3 linked regions of the Danio rerio genome follow. The protein of the gene in region 1 binds, or shares a complex with, the protein of each later gene. Links are inferred from orthologs where the notes say so. Each region holds a gene or a part of one and is shown on either strand. Other genes may lie near its edges.

Region 1 (6,269 bases):
AATACTCCCACCAGCCCGTCTGGCACCAACAACCATGCCACGTTCAAGTCACTTAAATCACCTTTCTTTCCCATTCTGATGCTCAGTTTGAACTGCAGCAGATCGTCTTGACCATGCCTAAATGGATTGAGTTGCTGCCATGTGTTTGGCTGATCAGAAATCTGTGAGCAGTTGGGCAGGTGTACCTTATAAAGTGGCCGGTTAGTGTATATTTCAATATATTAAGCTACATTCTATTACTCAATTGTAAAGCATTTATAAATATGTGTATGTGATGAAGTATGAGTTTGATAGTACCTGTTCTGTGGTCGCAGGTAAAGAGCTGAAATCTTTCATGCATTTATCTGTCACTTTAGCAAGTTGATTGACACTCTGCTGCTTCTCCTGCCTATTTATTTTGACAAAGACAAAAGAATATATTTGAATTATATACATTTTAGGGATCCACAGAAAGGCCATTTGACTGATATTGATTTTAATAAACTGTTAGCCTATATTCCTAATCATTTGTCCTTAAAACAGATATATTTTATAGTCGGTTTAACGCTATAGCCAAAACACAGACCGTTTTAAATTCATTAATGATTAGCTGATAAAAAATAGGCTAAATAGATTCATCTCTATTTATTTTATGTGCTAAAGGACTGAGATCCAAACTAGATGTTTGTATTTGGCTCACAATGTCTGTCGCAGGTCACTTGTGTCTTGTGCCGTTCCAAGATGTCTCATCAACTGCTGGATTTCATTAGCTGGGAAACAGAAGCAAGATCTAAATCAGCTTTAAACACCTCCCATGTTATCAGGTTACAGAAAGGACTGTTTTGTCGTAAACAAATGTGTTCCGCTTGTACTTGACTTTTTATCTGTTGTGGTTTTGTGAATGTAGCACATTAAATTGCATAGCAGATAAATGGAGAACAACTGAACAAAGAAATTGAAGATGTGAAAACAGAAACATCACCACCATCCAGGCGTGGCTAAAAATACAAGTCAAGTCTAGACATAATCATTAAAAAAGTACGAGTTTACTAACAGTTATTGTTTGGTAAAAAAAACTGATGGTACATTTTTGTAAGCTATACAATTTTTATAGCACATAAATAAGAGTGAATGTACTCACTTAGAAGCGTTATCCTCTGGATGTTTGAACTAATAGTCTGTGCCAGCCCATTGGCATCGACTTCTCTTGATCCATACATGATGGAAGCCTTTAATGAAAGAGACAGAAAACACATTTGTAGAAATCACATTTATTTGCAGGCCTACAATCGCACAATTATCTCTTATACTGCGCTACATAATAACAAGCTTATACAATTTATTCATAAACATGTTTTCTTATATACATTGCTCCTAAAACATACTATTTGAACGTGTTTTTACATATGGCTTATCAATTTCTTCCTTCAATAACATTCAACTATCATTATATTTGATCCTACATGCTACAGAATAGTTTGTATATTAACATGTATGAACTGAAATGCTGGATTTGCGACGTTTTTAATAAATGTCAAGTAGTGACAGACTTTCACGAGTTGTAAACATGTTTTACACAAACTATACATACTTATTAATGTTTAATATTCCCACATTCATTTAGGGACAACTTGTGACATGTTTCCTATATTGTTTACTACTTTAAATATTCGGTCTGAATCATATGCCTCCAAAACAACATTAGCACTATTTAATTGACCATGAACAATGCTGTACTTTAATTGTCATTTGCTGGGAATATGATTTGACTATTTAGTATTAGTAAAGAATAGTTTTCTGAAATTATATTAAGGAGAAAGTCTGAATGTGTGAATATAAACCAACTTTAAGTTACCCTTAAAACGTACTGTACTATTTGGAGACCAAAACAATTGCTCACTATTTTGTATGCGTTTCTTAATTATATTAATGGGGACATTCAAAAATGCTTAACATGAAGAAAGCGGGGCTTAATGTAACTAAACATCAACCAGAAAACCCCAAATTTCTGTCAAACTGTACTTGTAATTAACCCTAATTACTGTAAAAAGAATGAGTCCCAATTAAGCAGATAAATTGAAAAACATCATGTTAGGCGTTTACTCCCCCATTGGAGTCTATTATAAGGATAAAGCTTAACGTGGCTTAATGTACCTTAACAGCAAGTGGGAGAAACCAAATTTCTATAAAAGTTACAAACACTTTCTGATGTCAAAAGAATGAGCTCTTATTTTAGTGGGTAAAAATTATCACGGTATGCAATTCTCCCCACTGAGTCCATTATAAAAGGAAAACGCTTAACATGGCTTAATGTATACCTCAACAAGTGGGGTACACCAAAAATCTATCGAATACTTGTGATTAACACTAACTACTATCAAAAGATCAAGCCCTTAGTCTGTAGATAAAGCGGACAATGTTGTTAAGCATTTTATCCCCATTTCAGTCCATTATAACAGCTTAATGTGGTTTAACTTAACATCTAGAGACAATCAAATTTCTATAGATATATATTCATGAAAAACACTTACTGCTGTAAAAGAACAAGCTTTTATTTTAGTGTATCAAGTGAGCAATATCACTTTCAGCATTCTCCTCACAGAAGCGCATTATAAGGAATCAGCTTAACGTGGCTTAACATATCTTAACCCAGACCAGGGAAACCCAAATTTCTTTACTTGTGATTAAGACAAACTATTTTTAAAAGAATGGGCCTTAATTCCACAGATAAAGTTAACAATATCACGTTAAGTGTTTTCTTCCCCGTTGAAGTCCTTAATAAGGAAAGCTTGACTTAAAAACAGAGGGAAACCAAATTATAAAAAAGCTGTTCAAAAAATCTAACTTAATTTATTATAGATTAACCCTTTGCTGTCAAAAGAATGCACTTGTGCATGTCATTGACATCCCCACAACAACATAGGGAAAAACGCTGTTCACTTAAGCTGTGGAAATGGGGCAAATTTTTAATTTTTTTGCTATATAGTTAGTGCTAACCACAAGTAAAATTTGATAGAAATTTGGTTCCCCCCACTTGTTGTTGAGGTACATTAAGCCACATTAAGCTTTTACTTATAATAGACTTCAATAGTGGAGAAAACGCTTAGCGTGATATTTTTCACTTATGGAATTGGGACTCTGTCTTAACAGTAGTTCGGGTTAATTACAAGTAAAGTTTGATCGAAATGTGGGCTTCTCTGGTTGATGTTTAGGTATATTAAGCTATTGAGGCAAAGTTGGTTTTATATTCGCACATTCTTTCAGTGACAACTTGTGATACACTCCCTATATTGTTTACCATGCTACTTTATATATGAAGTCTGAAATCACATGTAAGTATGACCTAAACATTAGCATTATTTAATTGACTGAGAGCAGCGTGTACTTTGAAAGTCATTAGATGCTAATATGATGTCCCTAATCAGAATGTGCAGTTCTTAGCCAAAATTATATTATTAAGGATAAAGTCTATAGTATAAAATCAACTTAACCTCAATTATTAAGCTTATTTCATGCGTTTTAGAATCTCCCTTAATGATATTACTGTTGTCATTTTGAATTAACGAGAAAACTTGCCCCATATAGTTGCTCACCTTGCTTTGAAATATGCCTTATTAGCTCAATAATTACTCGAAAATAGCTGGCGTAATGTTGTTTATTGGTTAGCAGGCTAGTACTAAACAGATGACTAGTAAAACCGATCTGCGCTGCACCTGCAAAACGAAAGAATGCGGAAATCACGGCTCACAAACTCACAAACACGCATTTTCATTTATAAAACTAGACAGCTATTGTTTTAACTTTGCTGACACACAACAAACATTAACATTCGGGAATCTTACAGTGTAGTTTCATGTCAAGTGAACACAAATCGCGCTGTCAACAAATATGCTTCAGTGAATGAACTTTGCGCTTGCTACTTTACTGACTTCTCTTTTAAACTACCCTCAACAACTATTTACGTAAAGTCTGCACACATGTACAGTTTATAAATACGCATCGTTTACTTTAATATGTACTTTGGTTGTTCGGTTTACCTGGATTTCCTGAGTGAAACTCCGAGCCCTCAGCTGATTTCTTTGACGCGCGGGTCACGTGACTTCTGTTCTATCTTCCGTGTGCGTTCAGAAACATGTAGTAGATTAGTAATGTACTTGACGCATATACTAAACTATTGAGTTTATGTACTATATGTTTAGATCGACAAATACTAGGCAGATGTCTATTATTATTAACTTACCCCAATTAAAAAAGTAAAAAAAAAAAAAAACTAGCCTACATAACAAAAATAAAGTAGACTTTAACTTGGTTTCCACATGGGTAATAAGTAGCCTAACCTTACTAAAAAGAAGTATACTTCACGTTCCTTTTTATTAAGTATAGTTAGTTAATATTGATATATCTTAAGCATACTTCACATAAACATTTATGTAGGCTACTAGTAGTATAGCTATGTGGTTCCCAAATTGGGGTTTGTGAGACAATGAGGGTGGGTTGCTTGGTGATTTCTCTTTAATATATGTTATTAAACTATTAGAATAGCCATATTTTATCCATAACTTACAGAAGATAAACATGGTATTTAATAGTTAAATAAAATAACAGCATGCAAATAAAAAGCCATCAGCCTTTCAATTCTTTTCCCATTGGATTCCAACCCCTGGGGTTATTACACTAGATTAATGGCACAATGTTAAACTCTGACACCTTTACGGCACGCGTGTACATAAAAAATAAAGGCCACGACTACACATAGAGGACGATCCCCAAAATTAAACCAAGAATAGTCTTGTGCTGCAAACAGTGTGCTCACCGTTGTCATTAAGTGAGATTAATAGTAAATTAAATATTGACAAAAAAAATTATTTATATATATATAAATATATATATATTATATATGTCGCTGCGAGTTACTGAAAGTTAGCGTCATAATCTAACGTGCTAACCACTGGACCACAACAGTTGTATATGAAGGACTGACTCATCTGACTAATATCGTCATTAACCTGCAGGCTGGTCATATATAAAAAGAGCAGAGCTGCGGTAAAATGATGAATAAGAAGACTGTAGTCAAGTAAGTAAATAAATTAATTTAAAAAGTGTGACTGCTGAGAGCAACAGATTCTAGAGCTAGGGACACCGGCCCTCGCGGCCAAAAAACGCACCGGCCCACCGGGAATTCTCCCGGTCCTCCCGATTAGCCAATCCGGGCCTGATACACACACACACACACACACACACACACACACACACACACACACACACACACACACACACACACACACACACACACACACACACACACACACACACACACATACATACATACATACATATATATACATACACACACACACACTCACACACACACACTTACACACACACACACACACACACACACACACACACACACATATATATATATATATATATATATATATATATATATATATATATATATATATATATATATTTAATTATTTATTTTTTGTGTGCACTGTTTGTATGTTGTACTGTTTGGATTGCGAGTCACTGGAATTGTTATTTTGGGGCTCACTAGCTGAATAGTTTGGGAACGCTTGTTATGAGCTACTTGTAATACTTGAATATATCATAGAACTAAATTGGCTAGCTTTTAGTGTAGTATAAGTGTGACAGTACACTTTAAGTGTACAACTAGTCATAATGCTTGTAGTAAATGGTTAGTTTGCCCCAAGCTCAGAATTTGGGCTTCGAATTAACTACAACTACACACACACACACACACACACACACACACACACACAAAAAATAATGCAATCGCTCTTAGCGTACTCTTTGTTAAATTTTAGTTTTAGTGTTGTAGGCTATGTGCAAGTTTACTTAAAGTATACAAAAAACACTCAATTCATATATGTTGAGAATTACTATAATTTAACTACAGTTAAAATATACCTTGCACAAAATTAGTTCTTTTAAAAGTAAAATTTGTTAGCAAAATTAACTAACCATCAACAAATTTGTAATGTACTGTAATGTAATGTGTGTATTTATAAAGCGTATTTATCTTGTATGGCCATACACCCAAAGTGCTTCACAATCATGAGGGGGGTCTCTCCACACCACCACCAGTGTGCAGCATCCACTTGGATGATGCGACAGCAGCCACAAGACAATGGGGCCAGTGCGCTCGCCACACACCAGCTGTTGGTGGAGTGGAGAGACAGTGATAGAGCCAATTCGGTGGATGGGGATGATTGGGAGGCCATGATTGTAAGGGCTGATTGAGGGACTTTAGCCAGGACACCAGG
Region 2 (6,433 bases), on another chromosome or scaffold:
CTCCTCAAGCTTCACGGTTTTCTTTTGACCCTTCTTCTCCTCCTCTTTCTCCGCTGGCACGTACCATGGCTTTGCTGCCGTGTCATCACATGCCCTTGCTCCACCCCTCCTGTACCCACCTCGTCCCGCCCTCACCAGCCCCCAGCCCTGAGGTTTACCCTCATGGGGTCCGCTGTCCTGCACGCCCCTGGTTTGGTCCAGCTCCTTAGCACTGAGCGCTGGCATCCGTACAGGAACAGTGTTTCCAAATTTGGAGTAGTCGACAGAGTAGCGTCCATCCTCCTCTGTCATAATAGAGACGAAACGCCGACCCCACAAGATCTCTTCTGGTATGTAGGATGTGCGGGCCTGCATTGTGATGCCAGTCGTCTCCACAACACCTAGTCAAACAGATTTAGAAAGTTTAAACTTGGTAAGCAAACTTATAAGACACCATGCTAACCTAAATGGACCTTTGGATGTGACTTGAATTTGATTTTACTTCAGTGTGGTTTCTTTTTCTTTCAGTTTTTAAATAGTTTCATTTTCTTTAAATTTAATGTCATTTTATATTAATGCTTTGTATTATTTGCTGCACAATATATCGTTTCAGAATCGATATCGGAATGTGTGCACCCATAGTCCCATTGCAAGATATGTAATGTTGAGTCTAGATTATAGTTGAACAGGAGCCACAGAATTGTATTTAATTACCGTATTTAGACCGAATATATACACTTTATGCATAAAAAAAAAAAATCTTAAAATTTTTGTCTTGTTTCTATTTAAAATGTCTTAATTTCAAAGTGAAAACAAGATTATTTTACTTGTTTTAAGAAAAAAAAATCCTGACAAACGTTTGAGTTAAAGTTAAGTTGAGTTAAGTTGAAAACAAAACAATATTTTTGCTTGATCTAAGAATTTTTAGATATTTGGACTAGAAACGAAATAGAAACAAAAGCATTAATAGCCTTTCCTTGCTATTTTATAATTCATTATATTTTATGCTAAATTATTAAATTCCTGTACCTGAATACGGTTAGGCTCCATAGAAAACCGTCTTGTGAAACTGTATTTATATCACAATATTTATCGCAGAAAAATAAAATATTGCGTTATTAGATTTTTCTAATATCGTGCAGTCCTACTTAAGGTAATTTTTTACATTCTTCAGCAAACACTGAGAAAATAGGTAAACATGTTTTAAAGCATTGTGTAATCATTATTATCAATAATAAAAATGTCTTGCAGGTAATTCCAAAATAAGTGGCATTAATACGGTGAAAATTTCATAGTAAAATATTCTAGAAAGCCTAAAATTATGACAGATAAGGCATTAGAAGTAGAGTATGTTAACAGGGACACCAATAGTCCGACATTAATAAGATTAAGACAATACTCTTAATAAGAGTCTACTATGTCAGAACTTAATTTTCAATTAGTAATATGCATTACAGGCCTGTAGCCAGCCTGGTGAAGGGTGTGGATCTTTTTTCTTAAAAAGTTGACCATTTTGCATTTATTCGCCTAATTTTTTTCTATGTAATTATGAGGTTAAAATAAGTTGCATTTTTGTAACATTTTAAGCACTATTTTTTTGCTGGATTAGCTTGTTTGATGGTCATCATAACCACATTTTTGATGTTAAGGTTTACATCAATTATCATTTACATCATATACATCAATTGCATCATTAGAAAAAATAGGAATTTGTTAAAGTTTTAAATTAAAAACTTTAGCCTATTGTTATTTAAATATCATTAACATAAAAAGCAAACCGTCCCGCACATTCAACTTTCCTCAGTCATGCTGACGCAACAACCAACACAGGATTCCACATGGTGTTAAAGCCTTTTTCCATGGATTATTTTCACAACTTATTATGACATAGTAGTTATGGGCCTTTGTCAATGAGGGGTGGGTCTTCTGAACCACCTGAAACCCTCCCCTGGCTACAGGCCTGCTTTGTTAATAACTTAATTTAGACAACTTTAAAGGCAGCTTTCCCAATATTTAGATATTTTTAAACCCTCGGATTCCAGATTTTGAAATAGTTGCATCTCAGCATCAATGACAAATGTATTTATTCAGCTTTCAGATCATGTATAAATCTCAATTTCCCAAAATTGACACTTATGATTGGTTTTGTACTCTAGGGTCACATATTAGAGAGCTTATCTATGATAATCCCTTAAAAATACTTTGGCTTTTAAACAAAACAATTACATTAAGCAGACTCTATTCAATCAAACATTCATTCTCCTTCGGCTTAGTCTCTTATTTATCAAGGGTCACCACAGGGAAATAAACCGCCAACTATTCCACCATATGATTTATGCAGCAGATGCTCTTCTAGCCACAACCCAGTACTGGAAAGTAGACTCTATTCACCTTCTAAAATGACAATGATCTCCAGATCTTCGGTAGCCATTGACTGCGCTGAGAGCTCGTACAGTGGACTCCCTCTGTCAATGGTGTGACTGATAATGAGTGGAGAGACGAGGAATATGCCGTTGCTCCTGAGAGGGTTTTCCACCTGGATATCTAACTGACAGACGGGAATCACTTCGCCCTCCGCTGTCACTGTCCGCCGAATAACCTGAGGAGCAAATATCAAGATCAGGATGGAATCAAACTCAAGAATATCTGGTACAGACATGATATATAAAGCATTTTTGGCTCACACTTCACATAATTTGTGTTTGTTATGATAATCAATGTGTATGAAAATCACTCTCCATGTCGAATTTCTAAATTCTTGCATTCAAGATGCCTGAATAGATTTCCATTCTGCCAAGTAATGGCAGAATTTTAATTTTAAGGTGAACTGTCCCTTTAAGGCAGAATTTATACTATCTTTAAAGCTACATATCTGCCATCATTTTGACATCAAATGCCTTGCTTTTATGTTGTCTGAACCTGGTGATAAAATAATGATTAAATAACCTTAGTTTGAAGGACATATTAAAGATCTATAGCAGTGTTTCTCAACCACGTTCCTGGAGGACCACCAACACTGCATGTTTTGGATGTCTCCTTTGTCCGTCAAACCAATTACAGGTCTTTCAGTCTCTGCTAATGAGCTGACGGTCTGAATCAGGTGTGTTTGGTTAAGGAGACATGGAAAATGTGCAAAGCGTGTGGTCCTCAAAGAAACGTGGTTGAGAAACACTGATCTAAAGGACTAAAATGAAGAACTCTCTAATAGAAGGTTCTGTGGATGTTAAGGTTCTTCAATGATTTAAATACATCAGTAAAGAAATAAACACATCTGTCACCTGCAGCTGTATGTTGGCAGAGATGATCATGCTTTTTCTCAGATCTCCAACACGAAACATCAATGTCGGTCTGCCATTCCTTGGGGCAATGACTGCGTTGCGGGAGAAGATGAGGGTTTCTGCTCTGCGGTTGGCTTGAGCTGTCTTCATGAACACACAGCCAAGCATGATGGCGTTGATGATCAGGCCCAGAATGTTCTGGATGATGAGGACTATGATGGCCAGCGGACACTCCTCTGTCACCATTCGTCCTCCGAAACCAATAGTTACCTGGTATTACAAATGCTTCATTATCTTACAGACGATTTAAAGGGGTCATGAACTGTGAAACCTAAAAATCACCTAATTTTTTTTTTTTTACATATAAGAGCTCATAGTTCTCTAAAAATATCCTGTAAGTTTTAGAACTGAACACTTTGTGGTTCCTCTAAATACAGATTATATTGAAGGCAGTCTGAAGATAACAGATTCTTGAATGTTCTACTCTATGATGTAATAGAGTGGATAAGCCCCGCCTCCACAGAAGATTGACGTCAACTTCTACTTCACATCCTGTTCAGCGCTGTTAAGGTATAGTTTACCAAAAATATTACATTGTTTATTCTCCCTCAGTTTTGACAACTAGTATTACGTTTCAGTCAGTCCAATCACAAGTGGATGACATTAAATAAAAATGTATGCGGAGTCTAAAATATTTAGATTACTGAAAATGCATGTCATAATAATTCTAGATGGAAACAGAGTCATATCTATCCAGATTGATCCTTACCTGCACTTCAATGGAGAACAGAAAAGCAGAAGTGAAGGAGTGAATGGATGTGACGCACGGCACAGGTCCGGGTTCATTGGGATCTCGAGGTTCTAGATCTCCATGAGCGAATGCCAGGAGCCACCACACCATGGCAAAGAGCATCCAGGAGCAGAGGAACGCTGAGGTGAAGATGAGCAAAGAATGCTGCCATTTCAGGTCCACCATGGTGGTGAACACATCTTGGAGAAACCGACCCTGAGAAGCAATAATCTCTTATGAACACTGCAACTGAGTCAATTGAAACTTTTCTTTAGCCTAGAACTGATAGGAAAATCTCACCTGTTCTCGAATATTCTTGTGGGCTACATTACATGAGCCGCTCTTGGTGATAAAACGTGCCCTTTGTGACTTTGGCCGGATGCGGCTGGGTTGTGCATCTTCAGCGAGTCGCGTTAACAAGAACCCATCAGGCAAAAGACCTTTGCGGGCCAACATTATGACAATTTGTGGCCAATTGGTGCTCCGCACTGTAGAAGGAATTTAAAAAAAAGAACTAAAATATACAGTAACACTAAGGGTTTCTTGAAAAATAAAGAAAAAATTATGAAGTACATTTCAGTTAATTTAGTTTATCTTTAATTCTTTAGCCCTTTTTACAATGTAAACAATATACAAAGCAGTTTGACATTACATTTTATCATTAATTCATCATTAAATTTAGTGTTTTGTTTTACTTATACTGCTAAAAAAATAATAATAATAAATTAGGTTTACAGTATATATGCATTGAATTGCATAATTTTAAAATCTTTTACCTAAAGGTAACGTTTTGCCTAATAATAATGCAAAAGGTTACATTTATAAATTACATAATGAATAAGGTTATAATAACATTATAATAAAGGTTACATTAATAAATTATATTATTAGGTTATAATAAATAAAAATCGAAGAATTTTTGATGTAACTCGTAATATAATAGTTAAAGCTTAATTTTAATTATTTTTTTTGTTTATTTTATGCATAAACAGATAACTCATAAATTGTCTTTTGTTAGTTGCACAGATATCAAAGCATATTCATAATTTTAAACAATTACATTTATATTTCTTTTAGTTTTTATATTTAACTAATTTAAAATATAATTATTTAATTAAATAAATGGTAATCGTTTATTAAGGGAAAAACTGGCATGAAACTGTCTAATCACGAGCGACAATGCTATTTTGAATAGTTTAGTTTCACTCAAACATAAAATATATACATGTATTATTTCAAATATATACATATATTATAACGTTTTATCATAATTTGGTTGTACATCATCAAAGAAGCGCGTAAGCTCATCGATTATTTTACATATTTCAAAGCAATTTTTTTCGGTATGAGAATTCAGATGACAGTAGCTGATAGACCGCTCTTAATGTCATCCAATCTCCTAATTCCTGTTAAAACATCAGCATTAAAACGATTAATATTTTTCAATCCCCTTCAATTATTATTTTGCATTATATTAGAACATTTTCTTCATTTAATTGAATGCATTGTAGCGCATTAAGACATCCAAAAATCTTAATTTCAATATGCATCCTTTATTATTGTGTTTTACGATCGCCATCATGATGACAGGATTATCAAGGTTTTTTATAAGATAAAGATGCTTACCAGCACAACAGTGTCAGGCGCTGTTTATTTCATATCGATGTCGTTTAGTAAAATAATACTAACCGAACAAAACATTTAAAACCCAAACGCAAGCAGATGGCAGTCTAGGAAGCTTATGCAATCAGACAGAGTCCTTATGATAGAAAAATGAATGACCGGCGGATAAACATATCCCACAATCCCCTCGCGACAGCTGCGCTTCACTGTACACTGCTGCTGTTTGGCGGTTCTCTTCGGGATAAATGCGCTCTGTTTACTTTTGCCAACAGTTTTATTAACATTATATGTGTGCGAATTACATTTATACGTCTTTTACGGATAATAAGAATAGTTTTCGTCGGTGTTTGGCGTCTTTTGGAGTATTTTTAGAAGGTTGTTAGCCGATTAGCTCTTTAAAAATGGCTGATCCATGGAATCGAGGTAAGTGACACGTAGCAGTTCTCTTTTAATATGCAGTTCTTACACTTTTTAAGCAGTACTATAGCTAAGTTACATGATATTATACATGATATTAAAATATTATAAAGCTTTTATTGTCTAACAGTAGCTTCGGTTGTTGATTTTGCCTGAACAAATTTACTTAAATATGAAGGTGTTCAGGTGAGAATGTTGTAACAGCCCAAAATTATTGAATAATAATGTAATTTTCAGGACATGGAGCTGTGGATGACATGCTGGATGCTGAAAACAAGCGGATGGCGGAAAATCTGGCCAGTAAAGTCTCGAGACTAAAGTCTGTAAGTCAGAACTAGTCCAAGAT
Region 3 (6,544 bases), on another chromosome or scaffold:
TCAAGAGTTTTCATTTGACCAAACCAATGATTCCCCAACAGCCTAAGTTGACCTTTTTCTTGGATGGCTCCTAAATACTCGAATTCAGGGGTGGCCAATCCTGTTCCTGGAGATCTACCTTCCTGCAGATTTCAGTTGCAACCCTTATCAAACACACCTGTCTGTAATTATCAAGTGGATTTCAGGTCCTAATTAATTGGTTCAGGTGGGTTTGATCAGGGTAGGAGCTAAACTGTACAGGAAGGTAGATCTCCAGGAACAGGATTTAGCACTCCTGCTCTAATTGGCCTTTTTTTGGACCTTTCCTAAACACCTGCATCCATTATCTAATGCAGGGATGGGCAAACTTGATCCTCGAGGGCCGGTGTCCCTGCAGAGTTTTGTTCCAACACTAGTCAAACACACCTAAACAAACTAATCACTGTCTTAAGGATCACTAGAATCTATAAGCAGGTGTGTTTGATTAGAATAGGAGCTAAACTGTGCAGGACACCGGCCCTCCAGGACCGAGTTTGCCCACCCCTGATCTAATGGGTCATCCCAACCGCTTATTATATTGGTGGAATATAGCTCATATTCAATGATCCTTTTTGGCAGATGCAGGTGTTCACTTATCTTAACCCTCTCATTAACCTTAGTCACCTTAGCTGAACTACTGGTGTTTAGCATCTCTTAACTGACATCTTTAAAAAACACTTTCAGATACCCATGATGATGCATTAAACGTGCATATTGATCATTGATTAATAACAACTGAATATTCATCATTAAACAAATAGATATGGGGTGGCGCAGTGGGTAGCACTGCTGCATCACAGCAAGAAGGTCACTGGTTCGAGCCTCGGCTGTGCCAGTAGGCATTTCTGTGAAGAGTTTGGATGTTCTCCCCGTATTGGTGTGGGTTTCCTGCAGGTGCTCCGGTTTTCCCTACAGGTCCAAAGACATGTGGTATATGTGAATTGGGTAAGCTGAACTTTCCGTAGTGTATGTGTGTGAATGAGTGTGTATGGGTGTTTCTCAGTGATAGGTTGCAGCTGGAAGGACATCCACTGCGTACAACATGCTGGATAAATTGGTGGTTCATTCCGCTGTGGTGACCCCAGATTAATAAAGGGACTAAGCCGAAAAAAAAATTAATAAATGAATGATAAAAACTCAACATAAACATTACAATTTAATAACAACCATCTGCATATAGTCTACATTGAATTATTTTATGTAACTGACGAAGGACAGTTAAACTCGAGGTGTAACTCCGCCTCATCACATCGGGTGTGCTTTATTTTCTAGTATATTTCTTGTTCATCCATCCAGCATGCCTGTCAAGACACTCGTCCCACGCAGAAAGCGATCGCCAATCCATCAGAGCCAATGAAGCAGCGCGGTTAGCAGAGGGGCGGGGTGGCTCCGCCTATACTGTCATTCTATTGGTCGATTTCTGGAGCAGATCATGTCAAGTGGAGGCGGGTCCGCAACGGGACAACCTTAATCAATATCCAGCGCGTTCTACATCCAAATAATAAAAGCATTGTTGATGCGTAATGTAACGTAATGTAGATTACGTAGAAATTCGAGTTCAGATGTGATCGTTTAATACCATTACAGGACCCTGCACGGGGCTGTACGCTTCAGTGGTGGCTGTGGTTTCTGCTTTAGTCTTTTACATCATGTTTTCATCCCAACTGGACACTGTGCTCGTTTCACCACAGATTGAATGTATTGCTAGTATAGTCGTTCATCATATCATAATGTCATTTTCATATCTCTCATGCTATAAACGACATGACTTACCTGATCTGAGGAGAAAGCAGCCTTAAAATCAGCGCGACGAGCCCTAAACCCGCCGCGAACGCCACGAGCGCGAGCATCATGACACTGCTGCTGCTGCTGTAACTGTACTGTACTCCAGTCTGTCTCTGTCCGTCCGAATGTGTTCAGCAGCCTCCCACTCACATCTACAGCTGTGCTCCCGGGGAATGATGGGATTGTAGTTTTCATTGTCTGCACCTGCACAAAAATGTTTCCTGAATGGTCATTAATTTGTTGCTGAAAATGATTGTAAATATTTTATTATTAAATATTATATTTGCAATAAACTACATGCTGTTTTATTGACATGTGTTGGGCCTTATTTTAATTATTGATATGTAGTAATAATGTATTTTTTCCTTCGCGTGTTTGTGTGAGAAAGTTTGCAGTATGCAACAACAAATAGAAAACAACAAAATGAATATAATTTAAAGTGAAATTGAAACTGAATAGTTTTTATCGTACAGCGTATCAAATATTATAGAGTGAATTATAGTACTATTAAGTCATTTATGTAAATGAATAGCAAATATGTAGGTAATATTTATTATGTCAGCTAAACTTTAATTGTTCGACGATTATATTTACGAAACAGATTAATTTGGGTTTTCCTAAAAATATGAACTACAACTCCCACACTGTATTTATGATGCGAGCTGTCTACATATTTGCTACGTTTAATTGAAGTCTACTTTTGTATCATTTTTCAAAAATGAAGTGCATTAAAATTTTAATTAAGCATACACATATTAATATAGAGCTGTTTTAGATGTTTAAAATTTTAAAACAGCCTTTAAGATTTTAATCTGCATTCTTGTTTGCAGGCAAAATCAAGACCGCCTATCATCACGAGGTCCAACACGGAAGCGTGAGCTGCAGTCCCGAGGATTTTGTTATTGCCCGAGAAGCTGATTTTTCCCTATTGTTTCGTACCACAACAGACTTCAAATTTTCGCTCTTTTATTCTGTTGTCATTTATTTTGTTTATTTGCTTTAGACTTCGTTTGTTCCACTATGTCTTCAGAGGAGTTTGAAAAGCTGCATGAGATGTATAAATCTCTGTATGACGAAGTGAAGTTGATGCCAGAACGGGTGCAGAAGAGCCAGGGAGGTGAATAAACTCTTTATACTGTATTATACGTTAACAAGACTGTGCGAATGAACTGCTTTCATCAGTGAATAGTCATTAACTTATTTTGAGTACTGTCATTAGAGATTTTCCAAACACTCCTGATATTGTAGCTGTGGATGAAGTATCGAGATTATGGAATTAGGCTGCTGTTCAGAAAAAAATGCTAAAATATCAACCATTAACAAACGCTTTGAAAGTGTGTGGCTATAGTTTTTTTAATCCACGGGAGTCTAGGACACGTTCATAAACTGGGTGCGAGGATTACAAATTGCTGGCTCAGTAAGAAAGACTGAGTCTAAACAAATTGCCATATACACTGCTTTGTGTCTGCAGTAAAAATGCAGTCTGCATATTTGGAAAAGACGATGTCATCTCTATCCCTAATTTGCAGAAGTGAGGTAAAGTTGGTTTTATATTTGCACATTCGTTAGTTTTTGACCAGTGGCAAATTGTGACTGTCTACTTTCAATAATGGCTGTGAGGCATGGGATTATGATTCAAAACGACATTAGCACATTTATTGACTGTGAACGACGCTGTACATTGATAGTCATTGGCTATAATATAATTTCCCTATTAAGAATTTTCAAAAATACTTTTCTGAAGTTATATTTGGAAGACTAAAGTCTCAAATGTGTGAATATAAAACAAACTTTACCTCAATATTTGCAGAGGGACATTCTAAAACGTTTAACGTGGCTTAATGTACTTGAACATCAACCAGAGAAACCCACATTTCTGTCGAGCTTTACTTGTAATTAACCCTAATGACTGTAAAATCAATGAGTCCCAATTCCCTAGATAAAATGTAAGACATCACAATAACCATTTTTCTGAAGTCTATTATAAGGAAAAAGCTTAACATGGCTAATGTACCTTAACAACAAGTGGGTAACATTTAGTTTCTCTTGGTTGTTGTTGTAAAGTCACGTTCAACCTTTTCTTATTATGGACTTCGATGGGAGGAAAACACTTAACGTGATATTGTTCACTTTATCTATGGAATTAGGGCCTGTTCTTTAGACAATAGTTAGTGTTAATCACTAGTAAAGTTTGACAAATTTGGGTTTTCCTGGTCAGTGTTAAGGTACGTTAAGCCAGGTTAAGCTGTTTCCTTATAATGGACTTTTACAGAGAGAACGTTTAGTGATATTGTTCACTTGATACAGTATACTAAAATAAAAGTTTGTTCTTTTAACAGAAGAAAGTGTTTATGAGTATATTTTTATATACATTTGATTGTCTCAATGTTATTAAGTTAAACCTCATTAAGGTCTTATAATGGATTTCAATGGGGATAAAACGTTTTAATGTCACATTGATCAATTAACTTCATCCACAGAATCAGGACTTGATCTTTTGCTAGTAGTTAAAGATAATTACAAGTGAAATTTCATAGATTTTTGGTGTGCTCTTGTTGAGGTACGTTAAGCCATGTTAAGCTCTTTCCTTTTATAATGGATTTGAAAAACGCATAACGTGATCCTTTTCACTTACTAAAATTAGAGCTCATTTTTTTGACATCAGAAAGTGTTAATCACAAGTAAAATTTGATAGAAATTAGATTTTATTTTAGAAATTAGATTTTAATTAGATGTACCTTGTTGTTAAGGTACATTAAGCTACATTAAGCTTTTTCCTTACAATAGACTACAGAAAAACGCGTAATGTGATGTTTTACACTTTATCTAGGGCAGTAGTTCTCAAACTGTGGTACGTGTATGCAGGCTTCCTTCTAGTGGTACACGGAGGAATCGCTGAATAATTAAAGTAAAAATGAGCACACTTTTAACCCTTTGACGCGTACGATAACGCCGATGTGATCAGTAAATTGATTTTAATAGGATAAACCTTTCATTTTATTTTCAATTTTCTAATGTTTGTTATGTATTCTATCATTTAAAGCTAATTTCCTCTCCATATTTGTAACAGTTGTAGGGGCTTATCCCATATTTTTATATCCCAATGTTCACAGGTATAGTTTAATCACTTGCTTTACTGACACACATAACCTACTCTAACGTGCAGTGGGCAAACTCATTTTTTATTTAAATATGCAAATCCAATTCATATATCTAAAATACAAGTTAACATTTAGATTTCAAAGATTTACAAAGTCATATATACATGCATCATATATTTCAAAATTTAGGATACTTTATGATAATACTTTACATTTAGGTACAGCAGTTTTCTCTTTACTTTTTAAAAACAGTGCCGTTTTTGATTAGCTTTTGAACGCACAGTTCAACAGCACAGTGTTAATGTTCAAACTACTTATGATGTTTAATATGGCTGAAAATAACAAATATTCATAATAATAATCAGAATTAATCTGCCACGCTTTTGAATTGTGCAGTGCTGTAGCTGCTTAATTAGGCCTACTACACTACTGTATTTCAATACTGGTCATTATGGTGGTACTTGGGAAGAATTTTTAATTGAGGTGGTACTTGGTGAAAAAAGTCTAAGAACCACTGATCTAGGGAATTGGGGCTCGTTCTTTTACAGTCATTAGGGTTTATTACAAGTACAATTTGACAGAAATTTGGGGTTCTCTGGTTGATGTTTAGGTACATTAAGCAACGTATTTGCACATATTTCTTTACAAACTTGAGGTGGTCCAAGCATTTTAATATTGTTCTTTAAAATATATATATATATATTCAGTGATTGTATTTATTTGCACATCACTTGTACTGTGAAACATAATAGGCTCTTTGTGATTATATGCATGCTGCATTGCTTTAACTAGTATAAGTCATTCCAAATTAAATAATCAATGTGTGTGTGTGTATGTGTGCAATGACATAATGTTGAATAATTTCTTTTGAGGCATTTAAACGCTTTAAATGAAACGGTTTCCTGTGTTTTTTATTATTATTATTTTCCGTCTATAGATATAAACTGTAAGAGTCAATGTCAGTTGTCTCCTTGTAGTGTTCATTGTGTTATTATGCTGTTATTGTCTTGTAAATATTGTCACATCAATAGCATTAAATAAGATGACTGAAATTAACCAGCACTTTGTTTTTATTTGTAGAGGAAAGGAAGAGAATTGTCAGAGACTTTGATGAGCGTGTTTCAGAGGCTGAAGAAGTGGTAAGTAATGATGTTCACTTTATTATCAGTCTTGATTTCTGCTTCTTAAAATTGTATCTTTTACTTGGTTTATGGATTTCCTCTTTTCCTGTTTTCTGCTTTTGAGCACTACAGGCCTAATTAATTTATTTAAATAATGCAATAATGTAATGTGTATGTGTGTAAATGGTAGTTTTTTTTGACAATGCAAAAAATAATAATGTTTTAAGATTAAGGTTGTTTCTGATCATAAACTTATAATAAAAAATCCTTAGTCTTTACTAGTATATGACAAAATAAATATTATTTTCTGTTTATAAACATATGCATTAGCATCCTGTAATAGCATTGTTTGGAGTCCCAAATGAGGACATGCATATAACTAAAGAATTAGAAAATGCCTTGGCTTTTGTAACGTTAATAGCTAGAAAAAGAATTCTTGTAGAGTGTAAATCACCAACTGTCACTTTTGCCTTAGTGATGTAACAGGCCTGTAGCTAGCCTGTTGAAAGGGATGGTTCT

Evidence for each region. Proteins that work in one complex are often made in the same cells at the same time.
Region 2: stx7l (region 1) and bet1l share a complex: the UniProt entries of both Homo sapiens proteins name them as parts of the SNARE complex. The link is inferred for Danio rerio from reciprocal best matches to the Homo sapiens genes STX7 and BET1L.
Region 3: stx7l (region 1) and vti1b share a complex: the UniProt entries of both Homo sapiens proteins name them as parts of the SNARE complex. The link is inferred for Danio rerio from reciprocal best matches to the Homo sapiens genes STX7 and VTI1B.

The regions. Positions count from the first base shown.
Region 1 is NC_133195.1:49,558,490-49,564,758, reverse strand, and holds the start of stx7l (syntaxin-7), read right to left. Parts: upstream 4,066-6,269; 5' UTR 4,017-4,065; intron 1,209-4,016; 5' UTR 1,200-1,208; coding exon 1,121-1,199; intron 750-1,120; coding exon 680-749; intron 389-679; coding exon 298-388; intron 1-297. UniProt on the Homo sapiens protein: May be involved in protein trafficking from the plasma membrane to the early endosome (EE) as well as in homotypic fusion of endocytic organelles. Mediates the endocytic trafficking from early endosomes to late endosomes and lysosomes.
Region 2 is NC_133200.1:8,371,404-8,377,836, reverse strand, and holds the start of bet1l (BET1-like protein), read left to right. Parts: upstream 1-2,578; 5' UTR 2,579-2,628; intron 2,629-3,257; coding exon of another isoform or gene 3,258-3,527; 5' UTR 3,528-3,530; intron 3,531-3,694; exon of another isoform or gene 3,695-3,756; 5' UTR 3,757-3,827; intron 3,828-3,988; 5' UTR 3,989-4,026; coding exon of another isoform or gene 4,027-4,263; intron 4,264-4,347; coding exon of another isoform or gene 4,348-4,503; exon of another isoform or gene 4,504-4,535; intron 4,536-5,673; exon of another isoform or gene 5,674-5,793; intron 5,794-5,833; exon of another isoform or gene 5,834-6,071; coding exon of another isoform or gene 6,072-6,093; intron 6,094-6,324; coding exon of another isoform or gene 6,325-6,344; coding exon 6,345-6,410; intron 6,411-6,433. Other genes in the region: kcnj11l (potassium inwardly rectifying channel subfamily J member 11, like), read right to left, coding at 1-380, 2,371-2,578, 3,258-3,527, 4,027-4,263, 4,348-4,503. UniProt on the Homo sapiens protein: Vesicle SNARE required for targeting and fusion of retrograde transport vesicles with the Golgi complex. Required for the integrity of the Golgi complex.
Region 3 is NC_133188.1:36,490,329-36,496,872, reverse strand, and holds the start of vti1b (vesicle transport through interaction with t-SNAREs homolog 1B), read left to right. Parts: upstream 1-2,689; 5' UTR 2,690-2,823; coding exon 2,824-2,920; intron 2,921-5,984; coding exon 5,985-6,043; intron 6,044-6,544. Other genes in the region: rdh12 (retinol dehydrogenase 12), read right to left, coding at 1,792-1,871. UniProt on the Homo sapiens protein: V-SNARE that mediates vesicle transport pathways through interactions with t-SNAREs on the target membrane. These interactions are proposed to mediate aspects of the specificity of vesicle trafficking and to promote fusion of the lipid bilayers.